Schizosaccharomyces pombe: one gene and its partners. The protein of the gene in region 1 interacts with the protein of each later gene in a biochemical or structural test. Each region holds a gene or a part of one and is shown in the gene's direction. Other genes may lie near its edges.

Evidence for each region. Proteins that work in one complex are often made in the same cells at the same time.
Region 2: the proteins of lkh1 (region 1) and tup11 form a complex in vitro, tested with the Schizosaccharomyces pombe proteins (one study listed by BioGRID).
Region 3: the proteins of lkh1 (region 1) and tup12 form a complex in vitro, tested with the Schizosaccharomyces pombe proteins (one study listed by BioGRID).

What each region holds. Positions count from the first base shown.
Region 1 is NC_003424.3:655,553-662,202, reverse strand, and holds lkh1 (dual-specificity), read left to right. Parts: upstream 1-2,025; 5' UTR 2,026-3,370; coding exon 3,371-5,443; 3' UTR 5,444-5,962; downstream 5,963-6,650. Other genes in the region: 3' tRNA-processing endonuclease tRNAse Z L2 Trz1, read right to left, coding at 5,963-6,650. UniProt on the Schizosaccharomyces pombe protein: Protein kinase that may act as a negative regulator of filamentous growth and flocculation. Appears to have a role in normal cell wall and septum formation and in cell separation.
Region 2 is NC_003424.3:298,752-303,593, reverse strand, and holds tup11 (transcriptional corepressor Tup11), read left to right. Parts: upstream 1-1,797; 5' UTR 1,798-1,882; coding exon 1,883-2,006; intron 2,007-2,073; coding exon 2,074-2,158; intron 2,159-2,182; exon of another isoform or gene 2,183-2,330; coding exon 2,331-3,966; 3' UTR 3,967-4,316; downstream 4,317-4,842. Other genes in the region: SPOM_SPAC18B11.09C (serine O-acetyltransferase activity), read right to left, coding at 1-260, 363-433; SPOM_SPAC18B11.11 (GTPase-activating protein), read left to right, coding at 4,808-4,842.
Region 3 is NC_003424.3:373,790-379,082, reverse strand, and holds tup12 (transcriptional corepressor Tup12), read left to right. Parts: upstream 1-1,945; 5' UTR 1,946-1,966; coding exon 1,967-2,090; intron 2,091-2,151; coding exon 2,152-2,239; intron 2,240-2,636; coding exon 2,637-2,989; intron 2,990-3,252; coding exon 3,253-4,400; 3' UTR 4,401-4,767; downstream 4,768-5,293. Other genes in the region: gluconate transmembrane transporter inducer Gti1, read left to right, coding at 1-891; Rheb GAP, tuberin Tsc2, read left to right, coding at 5,119-5,293. UniProt on the Schizosaccharomyces pombe protein: Transcriptional repressor.

The sequences.
Region 1 (6,650 bases):
TAGATGTTACTATGTATAGCAAGATTAATTAACATGTTATTGTTATTTGTTATTATGTTTTTAATACTATGTATTTATAGCATCTGTAATGTCTGCGTTTTTCAACTGCCAAAGAGCGCATTTTCTACAAGTTTCGGTTAATGTTGCAAATAACCGATTAGACTTTCATGTCATGACACTTGATTTCACTTGTGCTGACGCTTTTTTATGAACGGCATATCGCTGTTCAGCTGCTTTACCGACATGTAATGGCCAAATCTCGAGCTTGACACTTTGTAAAAAGTCTCAATAATAATTCCCCATCCACAACTGACATACATAATTGATAGTACTTACTAGCCTTTACCCTTGCCAGCCAGACAGCTTCCACTGTACTGAGGTCAGGGATCATGACATAGACTGATTGCAAATTACGAACAAGACCGTCAATCTGCACTTTAGCATCTCCTAAAATAATAATCGTTAAAGCCGACTAGCTATTAGGGATGACGGGAGGAGCAAAAAAATAGCCTGAAAAAAGAAAAAGAAAAGAAAGCGTATTTAAAGAAAGGTTAAAATTTTCTTTGTTCTTTCAATAAGTAAGCAGTTTACTCCTGGTCCAGAAGTGCGACGGACCTTGCGTGCCGGTAAGGAAGTTGCAAAAAAAAAAAAAAAGGAAAAAAAGAACCGAGATAAAGTTGACTTTCAACTTCCGTCTGCAGTAACCGGATTTCCCAAAAATTTCAACGGGTAATTCAATTATGCAAGGGGATTGTCATTCTTTTTTTTACATTTTTGAGTTTCACGACACATTAGTCCCTTAATTGCAGCTACAACCATGCCTTGTTGCCTATTTTTTTCCTTTGCTTAATTACAATTTCTCACCCCATTTGAAGTCATGTTGATTGAATTTTTCACATCCCGTTTTCAAGCTCTAACATCAGTCATTGTAGATGATTGATTGTAGAAAATTATATTTGTTTCCTTTTCGCGACCATTAAATGATTATTCAATAGTTGATGAATTATTGCCTTTGTTGTTTTGTTACTCATCATGGCAATTTTATCGTATTATTTGTTACATAGATTATTGTCATCCACTAAATTTTTTGATGGCCAAGCGTCGCTGTTTGGACGAAATATTCGATTACCGAGGACGGATGGCCATAATCAAGACTAGTTTGGTAAGAGAATTTGGCAGATGGGCTGGACGACATTTGTTGAAAGTGTGAGAAACGCTTCTGAAAAGGCATGTTTTCTATATTTCATTTCTATTCTGGTAAAGAATTGTGCGGAATACTATACCATGGACAAATGGGGCGGGCGACAAGGCAGCTACAGTATAAGCGGGCATATAGCATTCATTGTATAATACAGTATATAGTACATGGTAGGTAGAGTTGGATAGAGATGGTGAGAATGACAGTTGCATTATTTATGCGTAAAACTATATGTAAATTTTATAACTATTTATGTAAACATGCGTTTATATATGTGTATGAGTGTGCATGCTTGTGTACATTTGTGTGTGTGTGTATGTGTGGTGTGTATTGATGTTTGAATGGTATGATGACAATGATAAGCCATTTCTTACGAAAACTCCTTAAGTGAATATGGTTGAGTTGAATGGAGCGGCATTTGAATGGTAAATGATTAGTGATCTAAATTAATGAAAATTCATTCAGCGCCTCTGCCTCTACGGCCATGGCGGTTTTCGTAGATCTCAGCCCTTCAGAGTAGCAAGCGTCTCTTACGCTATAGTTGGGTGACGGCTAGGTACGTTGCATACTGCGCACATGGTGTTGTGGAATGTGTATACTTTTTCATAGGAAGGAGGTGCCAAACGCAACGCGCCTGGATGGTGATTGTTGGGTTGTTCCCTCGTCCGGCCAATTTTTTCCAGCTATTTTATTTTAAGGATAGAATAACAATGATGTTGTTCCGGTCTCACAAACATGATTATCTCATGCAAATTTCACCTTTTCTAAGTGGCTTTACCAAAGAAAACGCAACTTATTATTATCCAAACTCTTGCTAATTCCTTTTTACTTTCTCCACATCCCTCGAATTGGCTTGAGGCTTTTTCTTTTATCCTTTCTATCCTCAATTACTAGTTTTCTTAGCAGTTGTATTATTAGGACATTGCTTTGTTGTTTTACCCCCCCCCCATTGGAATTACATTCTGTGGGATTGAAGGAAAGAAAAAGAAAATTGCTTATTAAGAGTCGTATATACTTCATTCTTCAATTTACTACACTCACTACTTGCTTTTCTCCATCTACGATCTACCATTTTGTTAGGTAGACTTTCGTACTACAGCTACATCGCTTGTCGTCGACTTTGTGTGCTTTTGAAAACTGCCCTGGTAATTGCCGATTCTTTTGGGGGTTATTTATACTTTTGTTTTATCCAAATTACTAATCCGCCTGATTTGGACATTGATCAATTTTGGTAGTAGCGCAATCGCACCCCCTCAAACACAAAAACCTCATCATTGTCTCATGGTACAATATTGCCTTGGAACATCATTACTTTAAAGCAATACGATTGATACAAAGGTTTCCGCTAGTTGTTGATTGAAGGTTTGGTGTTTATCGTTTTTTCGTGTTTGATTTGCCTTTACAGACCCTCCGTGTTCGGCATACTTATTCTCCGGTATTGTAGATATTTATTTCTCTCCGATACCTTTTTGCATTTGCTGTTTCTCTTTACTGTTGCACCCTACATTTGATTGAGAAAGGGGTTTAGTGGTTGTCGTCAATTGTCTTTATTCTGAGAAAACGGCTTTCTTCTCCCTGATATAAGAAACCATTTGGTTTGATAAATATATTTCAAGTTCACTTTCTCACTGTTTTCCGCTTCTTTGCTGATTTATCGTTTGATCGACGGCCTTGCAATTTTACAACGTCGAGAATTTTAACTTCTTTCTTCGTGATTGCATTCAAATTTTGAAACTCTTTCGAAGTAGGTGTACCAGTTAACTTGATTGCTCATTCTTCCTCCCATTCTCTGCTTCTTGATGAACTAGCTGTTCTGGTCCAACACCAATTGTCGAATGCTTGTCAGTTCAGTTCTATTGCTTTAATTCGTCCATTTTTTATTTTTATTTTTTAAATTCCGCCTTTCTATTTTGTTCTTACCCTTCGACGAGTCGAAAAAAAAGGTTTTTTATTGCTTTTGTCGCTTGGTGACTTCGAACAAGGAAACTTTTCCCCTTATTATTGTTTGAGAAACACTTATTTTCGGTGGTTGGTATCTCTTTTCATCATTTTTGCTTCTGGTTTTGCATAATTCTAAAAGATACTTATCCCTTTTTTCAGGTTTCGACGTCTTCTACCTCTTCACTTTACCAATTTGCTCGCATGACTTAGACGGAATCTTTTTATTGTAAAATGCATTCCTTAAAACGTCGTAGAAATCATGCGCCTGATTGGCAGGACTTTTATAAAAATGGTGTTCCACAAGAAGTCATTGTTATAGAGGACTCAGCTTCTCCACGGCTTACCCCTAATTTACCGCCTCCTTTTTCTGTTCATCAATTACAATCCTTCGTACCTCCGCAACCTCCCTCATCATCATCACCCTCTACCACTGGCACTGTGGCAGTCCCTATCAATGGTGCGAATGCTGTTTATCCATCAACTAACTCGGTATCTCTTCCTCAATCCTATGATCCATGGTTGGATGCTAATGGCGTCGTTCCATTACCGCATGATGTCGCCAGCCATCCTTCATATATGGTTCAGTCTCCTACATCGTATCATGCGTGTTCAAATAATCAATCGCCATTTCCCCATTCACATCATCCTCCCCTTCATAATCCACTACCTGTTTCATGTCAACCTGTTTTACGGCCGCCTCCTGTCCCTCAAGTTCCTTCACACTGGTACCCGGTTTCGCTTCCCTCTCCTAATTTACCTCACCAACCAATTTCTAAACCTCCAGTGATCCCTAATTTACCAAAGCTCCAAGTCCATCCGAACAGGCTTCCACATCCCATCCATAATCATCCTTACTCGTCTCCAACCTCTTATCCTCCCCCACTATGTCCTGCAACGTATTGTCCTTCTAACCCTCCTCAGCTAGCTCCGGCTACTGCTATCGCTCCTTCCTCGCAATCGTCTCAACATAAAAGTGTAAATTATTCCGTCACCCCAAGTTCCATTAACAATCATACCGCTGTACCATTATCTCCAACGCTGGCCGTATGGCTTCCGATGACTCAACCAACTTTCCAACCTCCTTCTGCAAACGTTTATCAACCGGCTTCTAATGCCAATCAAGTTATCACTCCTGTATCTATTTCCGATTATCGACCTCCGAAGAAAAGGAAGCGAGCTGCATGGCCCCCATATAAAAAAGTCGACCGCGTAAATGTTCCTGTTGTGCATGATACTACCGCTTTTGATCCATCAACTTTTGATGATGATGACGGTCATTACAAGGTTGTACCTAACTCCAAATTTGCCAACCGTTATACAGTTGTTCGTTTGCTTGGGCACGGTACTTTTGGCAAAGTTATCCAGTGTTACGATCAAAGTACAGGTAGACATTGTGCTATCAAGGTGACTCGAGCAATTCCAAAGTACAGAGAAGCTAGTCTCATTGAATTAAGAGTTTTACAAACTATAGCTCATAGTGATCCGACAAATGAAAATAAGTGCATTCAGTTACGCGATTATTTCGATTACCGCAAGCACATCTGCATTGTGACTGATCTTTTTGGCTGGAGTGTCTTTGATTTTTTAAAGAATAACAACTACATTCCTTTCCCTTTGAAGCATATTCAGATGCTATCCCAACAACTTTTTAAAAGTGTTGCGTTTCTTCACTCTTTGGGACTAGTACATACCGATCTTAAACCCGAAAATGTTCTTCTGGTATCTAATGCCTCAAGAACTATTCGATTACCTTATCGGAATTATTCACAGAAAGTCCTTAATAGTTGTGAAATCCGGCTTATCGACTTTGGTAGTGCAACATTTGAAGATGAATACCATTCCAGTGTAGTGAGTACTCGTCATTATCGTGCTCCAGAGATTATTTTAGGGTTGGGTTGGTCTTATCCTTGCGATGTTTGGAGTATTGGATGTATTTTAGTTGAGTTATTCACGGGACAAGCCTTGTTTCAAACCCATGAAGATAGTGAGCATCTGTGCATGATGGAAAAAATCCTGGGTCCCTTTGATAGGAATATGATTTCGCGTTCCTCTCGTACATCGCAACGTTTTTTTAAATCTGACGGAAAAGTCCGTTATCCTTTGTCAAATACGCCTAAAAAAAGCATTAATTATCTTCAATCTCTGCAAACGCTAGAGCAAATATTTGCAGTATCATCTCCAGAAGTGGCTTTGCTGCTTGATTTATTGAAAAAAGTATTCGTTTACGATCCTAAGCGGCGAATAACTGCAAAAGAGGCCCTTTGGCATCCCTTTTTCACCCAACCAATTTCTTCAAATTTGTGATGGATAAACTTAGAGATTTATAATTTACTTCATGTTTTTCAATAATTTTCACTCTTTCTAATTTACAAATCTACGGAAGTCTCGTATTTCTGGTTTGTGTTACGCTTTAGCTGATGTTTATTCGTTTGTTATTATTCAGTTTCTTAGACGAAAACTCGCATGTTCTACAATTACTTTAATTGCATAGAGTACTTGGTTATCCGATATAAATTAAAACTCAAAATTGTCCTCTTTTTAGATTATTCCATAAAGGTTTGATTAAGTCGTCAATTACACTCGTAAATTTTGGTCCTTGGGTTAAATAGTAGTTACTCAGTGAAATAAAAGAAAAAAAGATCATTAATGGTTTTCAGGACTATTTTAATAGATACGGATTACCTTGACAATTTTTTTGAAGTCTGAAGTATTTTGTTATGAACATAATTGTATAATGAAGAAAAGGTTTGCCCATTTCATTAAACAACAGAGATCACTTGCCTGAGACCCAATTTATATAATATGAGACAATAGCTCAAGTAGTTAGAACTTTAAAGGATCCGACTCCTCTTTTAAATTTTCCTCATTAAATAGATAAGCCAGAGGCTTTCCAAAATAACGAAACAATGAGATATCCGATATTTTAAGAGTCATTCCATCAAACGCCAAAGCTATATGTAAGTCTTCTGTCGAAATATCAATGTCTGGTAATTTGGGATATCGTTGGCTAAAATGAGTCAAAATAACGTTTTTTGTACCAGCTTTTTTGGCCACTTCTAAAGCTTCAGAGTAAGTACTGTGTTGCTTTTTTATTGCAATTTCGTGCATAGAGTCTTCCAAAGTAGCTTCGTGAATTAATAAAGTTGAGTCTTTGGCAATGTTAGCAAAATCCTCAGAAGGTCGAGTATCTCCAGAGTATGCGATCTTCCAACCACTGGAATTAGTAATCTCCATGCAATATGAATACGGGCAGTGTATGGCAGGAACCGTTCGAAAAGATACTAAATCAAATTCTTTAAATAAAGAAGACAACCTAGAGGATTCCAAAGCAGACGGCTTCCTGTCAGTACGTAAAGCACTATTGGAAATAAATACGATGTTGGATAATGGTAGATAATCAATCCTTGAGTATTCTAGTAGCCAAAATTCAAATTGTGGAGGTGCTGTTATAAACAACTTTGATCTGCCATCTGAGTACTTCGTCCAAGCCTTTAAAACCCCTATAACACCA
Region 2 (4,842 bases), 360 kb from region 1:
CTAGAAATGTACAATTATAATTTGCAAAGAATTTTTTTCCAAAATGAACGTTAAATCCGTAATCAAAAGCCATAGGTGGCTCAATCTCTGGTGCTGAAGATTCGTCAAATACAAAAACTTCAGCCAACAGTTCAGCTCGTCTTTTAATCAATTCTGCTGGGCCTACATTTTCCAAATCTCCCATAGTGTCATTAAACCTTCGCATTAATTTTTTAGCATTACATCTCGCTTGAGTCAACTCCTCGTCGTAAGCCTTGTACCTGTTATTTAGTAATTAGAATATCTCCCTGCGTTCAATGTGACTTCAAACATGTCAACGAAGATGATATATTAGCTCGACAAGTTTTAAGCATTAGCCTTACGGTTGACCAGATATCATTTTTTGGTATTCAATGGTTTTCGGTATCATTTTTTGTACACGAGTACGAGTCATTTCTGTCGGAAAACAAGTATATTCACTAGCATTGACAATGGGACTAGTAGAGTTATCGATGTATAAATAGACTTATATATATATATATATATGTATTGATATCAATATTAACAAATTGCTGATAAAACTATACGGAAACTTTTTAGTGAAATAGTTTGTAAAACGTAAGTAAAAACATCTCGATGATATATAGCGTCAGCTGTTACACTACATTATGCCCCACTATGCAACATATCATTAATTGTCGCATTGCTTTATGTCTGGCCCCTACTCGTATTACCACCAGCATACCAAAATTTATCAAGTTACAAGTAAATAGTTAGTGTAGCTTAACAAACGCTGAGGGCCGTAAACTGACAAGCAATAACAAGATATGCAATGAACGTTGTCCGTCCCTTTTTTAATCTTGCTTTCCTCCTGTATCATTAAACTGATTAAACTGGGTAGTAATCCCAAACTAATGTCATATAAAAAAAAAATTCAAAACAACTTAAATAGTACATCAAACAAAAATTGATAAGTAAATAAGCAATAAATATGATTTAAAAATAAATCCAAAGTGTATTTATTAATCGCCCTTGAAGTGTAAATGGCATATCGTGTCAGATTAAATGCTCAATTTCTGACGGCTTCGGTTTGCTGCGCTTAAACATTTTGCTTTAGTGTTAATAAATTTCAACTATGGGATTTTTTCATCCTTCTTCATGATAACTAGATTATATGAAAAAAGCATCTTTAAGACAACCAACAATGTTTTAATATCAGTAAAGTGCGTCAAATTTCGCATCATTAAACAAATAATGTCACTTATGATTAACTGAGTCATTAGCAAATGAAATGTGAATTTACGGGTTAAATACTATCATAACTTTTAATTAATACTTATCAAGATAAAACTCACTGTAATAATGTCTTACAAAGGTCGGTAAACAATCTAATTAAACAAGGATCAGATAATAAATTGATTAAACACAAATTTTAATTTTTTTATATTGATATATAAAAACGGTTAACAAATTTTTCCATCAATAAAAAAAAAATGAATTACACTACGTTTCAAAGTTATAACTATTTTTTTATAACAAACATCAACTGAAAAGCAAGAAAATCTATATTCAAAAAAATAATATAAACGCTACAAAAAATCAAACAGTAAAGGGTTTCGAATTGCTTTTCTCTATAATTCAAATGAATTTCAAAATAATTGGGACAAGTTGCCAACACACACGCCATACTAATTTTGTGATACTTGCTCAACCAAAAATATGTAGCACCACATTCTCTATTTAAAGATTAGCGCAGCACAAGGAGCCGCTCGATAAAAGTGCTGCTACAAACGTTCAAGAACACAAGTTTATTCTTGTACCACAATTCAAGTGTTGCTATTGTTGTAAAAGGGCGTATATCAATCGGATTCAGTTTTTGCAATAAGTCTGACTGAAAAAAAAAATGGCGTCAGTGGAGGATGCCACGAAAGTTCAAGAAATGCTGGATGCGTTGAAGGCTGAATACAATGCTTTGGCTCATCATAGCTTCGCGTCCAAGGCGCGCGGAAACGACTATGAATCTTCTAGTACGTGTTTGAATAAAATAAATTAAATTAGCTATTTTTTGGAAACTAACATTCTGTTCTATTGCAGTGATACAATCTCAAATTCAAGAAATTGAAGCGTTCCGAAAAACCGTGGATGATATGTATGAAAAACAAAAATCTATTAGAGAAACGTAAGTTTTTATATGTTAAAGGTATCGAGGGATTATATAGTATCTACTTCTTTTCTGTGAAATTCATCATTATTTTATAATAGCATACGTGTCGCTCGAGATTTATATGCTTGAAGTAAAAAAAAAAAAACCTTTATAACATCTGTCTTCACCAATTTACTAACATTTATAGGTACGAAAAAGATATCAACAAGTTGAAGCGAGAGCTTGAAGAATTAGGTGTCGAAGCGAATACCGCAAGTTATAGAAATCGTGGAGAAAGATCTGAACTTGCCGCTTCTAATAATCAAGTTACCCATATTGATCAGGAACATCCCTCTCAAACCAAATCTACTTCTCAGCCTCCAAGTAACCATCTACCTGCCTTTCAGCAAATCCCTCCAATTCACCAATCAGCTTATCCTCAAAATAATGTTGCTGAAGTATTGATGCCTCCAATTCCTCCTTCAGTAGAGGCTTCTAGCGGGCAAAATTTTAATCAGGGAATTGCTTCTCAAAATCCCGCGATATCTACATCCAATTTACCTAGTACTACACCTTTATATATCCCTCCTGTTAATTACGGAGCAAATCAGGTTTCTCAACAACCAAATCCTCAATTGCCTGGTGTTTCCAATTATTATAATCCAAGTGCTACTTCAAAACCTGCTGTGAATGTCCAGCCACCGCGTATTCCTACCAAAGCAACTCCTTCGGCTGAACCTTCTATGACTGCTTCTGCGAATGCTGGTTCTATATCCCAAGCGGGTCCTGATGGAGAATATCAGGGAAGAGAACAGATTGCTCCAGTTTCAGATACAGAAGCTGCTAGAAAGACAACTTCTCAGAGTTGGTACGTCACTTATAACCCAGCATGCAAAAGGGTTTTTAATATTAATCTCGTGCACACACTAGAGCATCCCAGTGTTGTTTGCTGCGTTAAGTTTAGTAACAATGGCAAGTATTTAGCAACTGGCTGTAACCAGGCCGCTAATGTCTTTGATGTTCAGACTGGCAAAAAACTTTTTACTTTGCATGAAGAATCACCTGATCCTTCCCGTGATTTGTATGTGAGAACCATTGCTTTCAGCCCTGATGGTAAGTATTTAGTCACGGGAACAGAAGATCGTCAAATAAAACTCTGGGATCTCTCAACTCAAAAAGTTCGTTACGTATTTTCAGGTCATGAACAAGATATCTATTCCTTAGATTTTAGCCATAATGGGCGATTCATCGTCTCTGGTAGTGGCGATCGAACTGCACGACTCTGGGATGTGGAGACAGGTCAATGTATTTTAAAGTTAGAAATTGAGAATGGTGTGACGGCAATAGCCATCTCTCCAAATGATCAATTCATTGCAGTTGGTAGTCTAGATCAGATAATTCGAGTATGGTCTGTGTCGGGTACTTTGGTTGAACGATTGGAAGGTCATAAGGAGAGTGTTTATTCTATTGCCTTTTCGCCCGACAGCAGCATTCTTCTTAGTGGAAGTCTTGATAAGACTATCAAAGTCTGGGAATTACAAGCAACTCGTTCAGTTGGCCTTTCAGCTATTAAGCCTGAAGGTATTTGCAAAGCCACCTATACAGGACATACTGATTTTGTTCTTTCAGTAGCTGTTTCACCCGACAGCCGTTGGGGATTAAGCGGATCGAAGGATAGAAGTATGCAATTCTGGGATTTGCAAACAGGCCAATCTTATCTCACTTGTCAAGGACACAAGAATTCAGTTATTTCCGTATGCTTTAGCCCAGATGGTAGGCAATTTGCTTCGGGAAGTGGTGATTTACGTGCTCGCATATGGTCAATTGACCCTGCATCTCCTTGAATTTTTGTTCCTGTTTACATATAACTATTTGCTCTCGGAAATAGTTAACCGCATTGATTTTTGGTTACAAAGTTTACAAACTAAATTTTGTAAACTCTATTACTACACTGGTATATTTCCTTAATTTGTATCATATTTTTTTTGCAATATTATTTCCTTTACTTACGGTCACAATAGACAAATCATCACTCAGTTTTTTAATGTCACTAATTTTGGAGAATGGCTTCTCTCATAAATTAACTGAGACACTTTTTATTTAAAAAATAAACAATTAATAAAAAATTCCTTAATTTTTAATTTTAGTTCTATGATAAATGTTGCATAACTTGAGATAATACTTAATACTTTTCAATGTAGATTCTTGAAATACATGTGGTTGATTAAACATTTTTTAAATGGTTATTCTTGTATTTAGTAATTTGCATATCTCCACCTTGACTCCGAAATTCACCAACAGATTTATCATATACTCGCTAAAATTATGTATGTATTAACCATCTTCTGACTTCTTCAACGCGAAGAAGACTCATTGTTTCGATTTTATTGACTAAAACATAGAAATTGAATAAATCCTAATCGATGCTATATTGAGGTGTGCTTTTACAATCCGTTACAGTTCGATATCTGCACGTTTCTTAAGGCTATCTTTTCAGGAGTTTATAATAATCCTCCACGGCTTAAGCAGTCTATAATTTGGGTTTACTTCATTAAATCTTTAATTTAGCACTTTTTAAATATATTTAAAATCTTAATACTTAAATCGGTGCCAACCCAGGACCTATATTACGTTTGGGTTAAAGAAAAATTGTCGTTGTTTGCTGCATCGATTTATATCTAAGCTATGAAGGCTTTGGATATAGACACGATTCTCACCCA
Region 3 (5,293 bases), 280 kb from region 1:
TTGCAGTCAATTTCAAACAATGCCTTAAATGAAAATATTGAGCAGCCTCCGATAAAGATGGCTGCTCGTCATTCCTACCCAAACTTTTTACAGACTCTTCCACAGTATATGAATGATGTTTATAATCCATCCGGATTAGCCTTTAACCCTGTGAATCCCAATGCTAATAATTCATTTGTTAATTTGAATTTAATTCAATTCACATCACCATCTCAAGCTCTGTTCGATTACGGAGAAGGTCCTTATGTCGACCAAAAATCACAGTATTTGCAGCCAAAACAGCCGTCTTCTAACACTGATTCAATTGACCAATCTTCCTATAACATGTCTCTTGCTGCTTCCAAACAATTTTTAACGTCTGACACGCAACCCGATGTCAATGAAAATTACTCTTTTATTTCCAATTCTATCCCAAAAAACTTATCCACCTCTTGGAACCAGAATATGGGTTATCATGTAACTAATTCAAACTCAGAACTGGCCTCTCAAAACCCGCTTTATGCTCAACAGGCCGTGTCAATGGAGAGTATGGGCAATGCCATTCAGTCAAGCGCTTATTCCGCTATGTCGACTCCGCATGGAGGTCATTATGACCACTATGCCGCCACTGCGAAAGGTAAAAATCCTTTAGCTGCTGAAAACCACGCTTCTGGTGGTCGTTTACCCAAGGTTCCAATTCCTCCACTCTCGAATATGCGTCGAGGATCTGTTCCTATCATACCTTCATCTGCTTCTTTACCAATGCGTACTTCGGGAAATCGATTCTGTCATTATTCTTCATTAAATGGAAATCACAATCGAATTTCGGCACGTACGAATCCTTATCCCATTAACAACCAAACGATGCTTTTTACTGAACCACTTTCAAAAGAACGCGGCTCCTTGTCATGATTACAAAAAAATTCTTACGAATATTAAGTTTTGTGAGGTTTTTTTTCTTTTTTTTTTTTAAATGTCTTAACGTTATGTATTAATCCTTTTATCCAACTCTTGTTATATGTGCCATATATAAGTAAAAACATTCCATTCAAGTAATGTTTTTTTTATGTGTTTACTGCACAGCTCAATATCTGTTTTTGTACTATTTGCTTTACATTCTGTTCATGTTAGTGGTAGTTTTCAGATGCTCTAGGATAGCTTTTTCCACCAGCAATAACTTATTCTTCAAAGCGGCTTTAAAATTGAAGTTTTTGCGAGTAGCATACTAAATGAATATTTATGCCAAGCAAACAAACCCTTTCAATAAATCTAGGAAGTGTATCATAGTAAATTAAGTCAATGGGCTGAGGAGCAGGCCGTCTATGGCGTATGAAAATTCGAGACTAGTTTCTGGAAATAGCATATAGTGTTTTCAAAGTTATTCACTATCAAGATGAAATTAAATTACGTTAACTTCTATGGAATTCATCCTTAAAGTAAGTTTGTTTCAAAATACCCATAAAATAGTTTTCTTGATTGACTTTAAGAATTCATATTAGGATTATGACATCTACACTTTTGTAAAACTAAACTTCCAATAAAAACCAATACCAAATAATGTTTTATTACCAATTGTATCAAAACGCTTCATATTCTTCCCAAAAAAAAAAAAAAAGGATCTTCTATCTAAAGATTTTCAAGGTTTTAGAGTTAAGATATTTCACGAACTAATTCAAAAAGGGTTTCAATCGATTAACGTTAAAAAATATGTTTTACGAGGTTTCATCACAAATTAATGATTTTACATTTTCCAACTGCGGCAAGTTGAATGAACAGCCAAATTACTAATTCAACAATATTGTCTCGCTAAGCATAAGTGAAATTGTCTTTCCTGACATGTTAATCTCAACATAGTTTGCTTACTTTAGCTTCGAAGCCGAGAAGGTTTTACCGAAATTAACGAATGTTATTTCTCGTTATTTCTCAAACAACATCATTCATGATTACTGTCCGCCAATTCACTTTTACCATCTTCAAGTTTCAATTTATGGCGACGTCCAATGTATCATCACGTGTAAATGAGCTTTTAGAAGCGGTTAAAAAGGAATTTGAAGATATTTGTCAAAAAACTAAAACCGTTGAAGCTCAAAAGGATGATTTTGAATATAAAGGTATCTTATACAAGAATTTGCTGACAAATTTGCGGTACAAATCTAACACTTCTTAAATTAGCAATGATATCTGCACAAATTAATGAAATGGCGCTCATGAAACAAACCGTTATGGATTTGGAGATGCAGCAGTCTAAAGTGAAGGATCGGTATGTCAATTTTCCTAATACACGCTTGGCGAGAAGGTTTGTTATATTAGTACAAGGTTATGCAATTATTGTGAGTGTTGTAGAGTCTTACAAAAGCGATTCCTCTCTAAATATTTATACAATTTACGGTCGTTGACGATAAATCTTTAAAGATGCTAAATAATGGTGGCTCCTTTGATGGGAGTAAATTCTATTAAGTAATCTTTTCATATTTTTACTCCGATGAAGGGTATTTCGTTTTTTACTCAGTATTTGGATGTTTATCACTGTTCGAAGATTCTCTGTCCTTTTCACACTTTTGTCAGCACCAGCATGCCTTCTGCTATGTGAACATTTATTCTCAATTTTATATTATATTTTCTCGAAAGCTATCTTTCTTGTTACTAACTCTCTCTAGTTACGAAGAAGAAATCACCTCCTTAAAAGCTCAACTGGAAGCTAGACGCAAAGAAATTGCTTCTGGCGTCGTCCCACAGTCTTCGAAAACTAAACACGGGCGCAATAGCGTTTCTTTTGGAAAATATGGAAATGCGGGCCCTTTTAACTCGGACAACTCCTCGAAACCTTTGATACTTAATAACGGTTCTTCTGGAGGAACTCCTAAAAATCTTCGATCACCTGCCATTGATTCAGATGGTACTGTTTTAGCTCCTATTCAGACCTCGAACGTAGATCTTGGTTCACAATATTATTCCAGTCCTCATGTACGCCCTGCTGTGGGTGCAACCATGGCTGGATCTGCTATGCGAAGTAAGTTCAAGCTTGCATTGTAGCTTTTGGCAACAGCATTTGTTTTTTGACTTGATCAAGTTTATAGATACTTTTTGTCTTTCACTTTATTGTTTGCATCTGGTATGTTGTACACCGTATGTTCCCAGACAATTTTTTAATGCTGTCATTAATTCGTTTGAATTCCTTGCGGCTTTTGTTCATTTTTTGTAAAACAAAATACTATTGCCGAAACTATTTTGCTTCCTCGTTTTAATTTGGATTTTCTTACTTACCATTCACAGCATTTCCTTCCAATTTACCGCTCGGACATCCTCCACCTCCATCTGACTCAGCTAATTCTTCCGTCACACCTATCGCTGCTCCTTTGGTTGTAAACGGAAAAGTCTCAGGTAATCCTCCTTATCCTGCTGAAATTATTCCGACATCCAATGTGCCTAATAGAGAGGAGAAAGATTGGACTGTCACTAGCAATGTACCTAACAAAGAACCCCCGATCTCTGTTCAACTACTTCATACACTGGAACACACAAGCGTTATTTGTTATGTAAGGTTTAGTGCCGATGGAAAATTTTTGGCTACGGGTTGTAACAGAGCAGCTATGGTTTTTAATGTGGAGACCGGTAAATTAATTACGCTTCTGCAGGAGGAATCTTCGAAGCGTGAAGGTGATTTATATGTTCGCAGTGTAGCATTTAGTCCTGATGGTAAATACCTTGCTACTGGTGTCGAAGATCAACAAATCAGAATATGGGACATCGCTCAAAAACGTGTTTATCGTCTACTGACTGGGCATGAGCAAGAAATTTATTCCCTTGATTTTAGCAAAGATGGAAAAACATTGGTTTCTGGTAGTGGAGATAGAACTGTTTGTCTTTGGGATGTTGAAGCTGGCGAGCAAAAACTAATTTTGCATACCGATGATGGTGTTACTACAGTAATGTTTTCTCCCGACGGTCAATTTATTGCTGCAGGTTCTTTAGATAAGGTAATTAGGATTTGGACATCGTCCGGAACTTTAGTAGAGCAGCTTCATGGTCATGAAGAGAGTGTTTACAGCGTTGCCTTCTCTCCTGACGGAAAATACCTGGTTAGTGGAAGTTTGGATAACACAATTAAGTTATGGGAGTTGCAATGCGTCTCCAACGTTGCACCCAGCATGTATAAGGAAGGCGGTATTTGCAAGCAAACTTTTACTGGACATAAAGATTTTATTCTAAGTGTCACTGTCTCTCCGGATGGAAAATGGATTATTAGCGGCTCGAAAGACCGAACCATCCAATTTTGGTCCCCCGATTCTCCTCATTCTCAGTTAACTCTCCAGGGACACAATAACTCAGTAATATCGGTTGCTGTTAGCCCGAATGGCCATTGCTTTGCTACTGGTAGTGGTGACTTACGAGCAAGAATTTGGTCTTATGAGGATCTGTAAGAACTAGCGATGTTTCATTTATAGCATTGAATGACAATGTCCGAAACCTACTTAATTTTTTAATTCTTCATTTGCCAATAATGCCCATTGACCATTGTGAGACTCGCTTCTTGGCAAGTCTTTTTTCCTTTATTTTATAAAAATTCATAACCGATTTTGTAACCCTTCAAACTTGCGGCTTATTTTGGTCGGAATTTTTCTATCAAGTCAAGCCGACCAGATGTTTTTGCTAATTCTTGAATCATTTCAATTCCCTTTTTTTAATTTTTGATACTTCCATACAATCCCCGACAACCGAAACTCTGATTTTATCCATAGTATTTCATTAACTATTAAATCCCAACTTTTGTATATATTTAATAGACCCTTCAAGTTATGTATATGTTTGCGCGACCTAGCTACTTAGCAATTGGTTTTTACGGTTAAATAACTTCATATATTTTTTGAATTTTGAATGTCGAATACTAAGTTTCTATTTATTAGTTTTAATGTCGTTTCAACCTATTCCTCTTAGATAAGGTAATGCTTCCCCTAATTCATAGCAGCCTGTCAGCTCTCCTCCCCACCCCTACCAGTGTAGCTAATACTTGAAATCAACTTCCATGCTCATAGTTTATGATCTTGAATATTCCATTAAGTTAAGAGTTCAGATTTGCTTTATGTGGTTATTCTGCTGAAGGTCCTAATTTATTGACGTTGAAAAATAAAGGCCACATAGATGAACAATAAATCACTTTTGGATCTTTCTAGTGAGCCTGCTATCAAAGATACAGACATTCTATCATATTTTGATGCTAACCTTCCTTTTAAAAAAAGGCATCAGATTGTAAGGAGTATTTACCATGGCTTAAAATACTATATATATTCATCGACTTCTATCATTCAAGTATGGC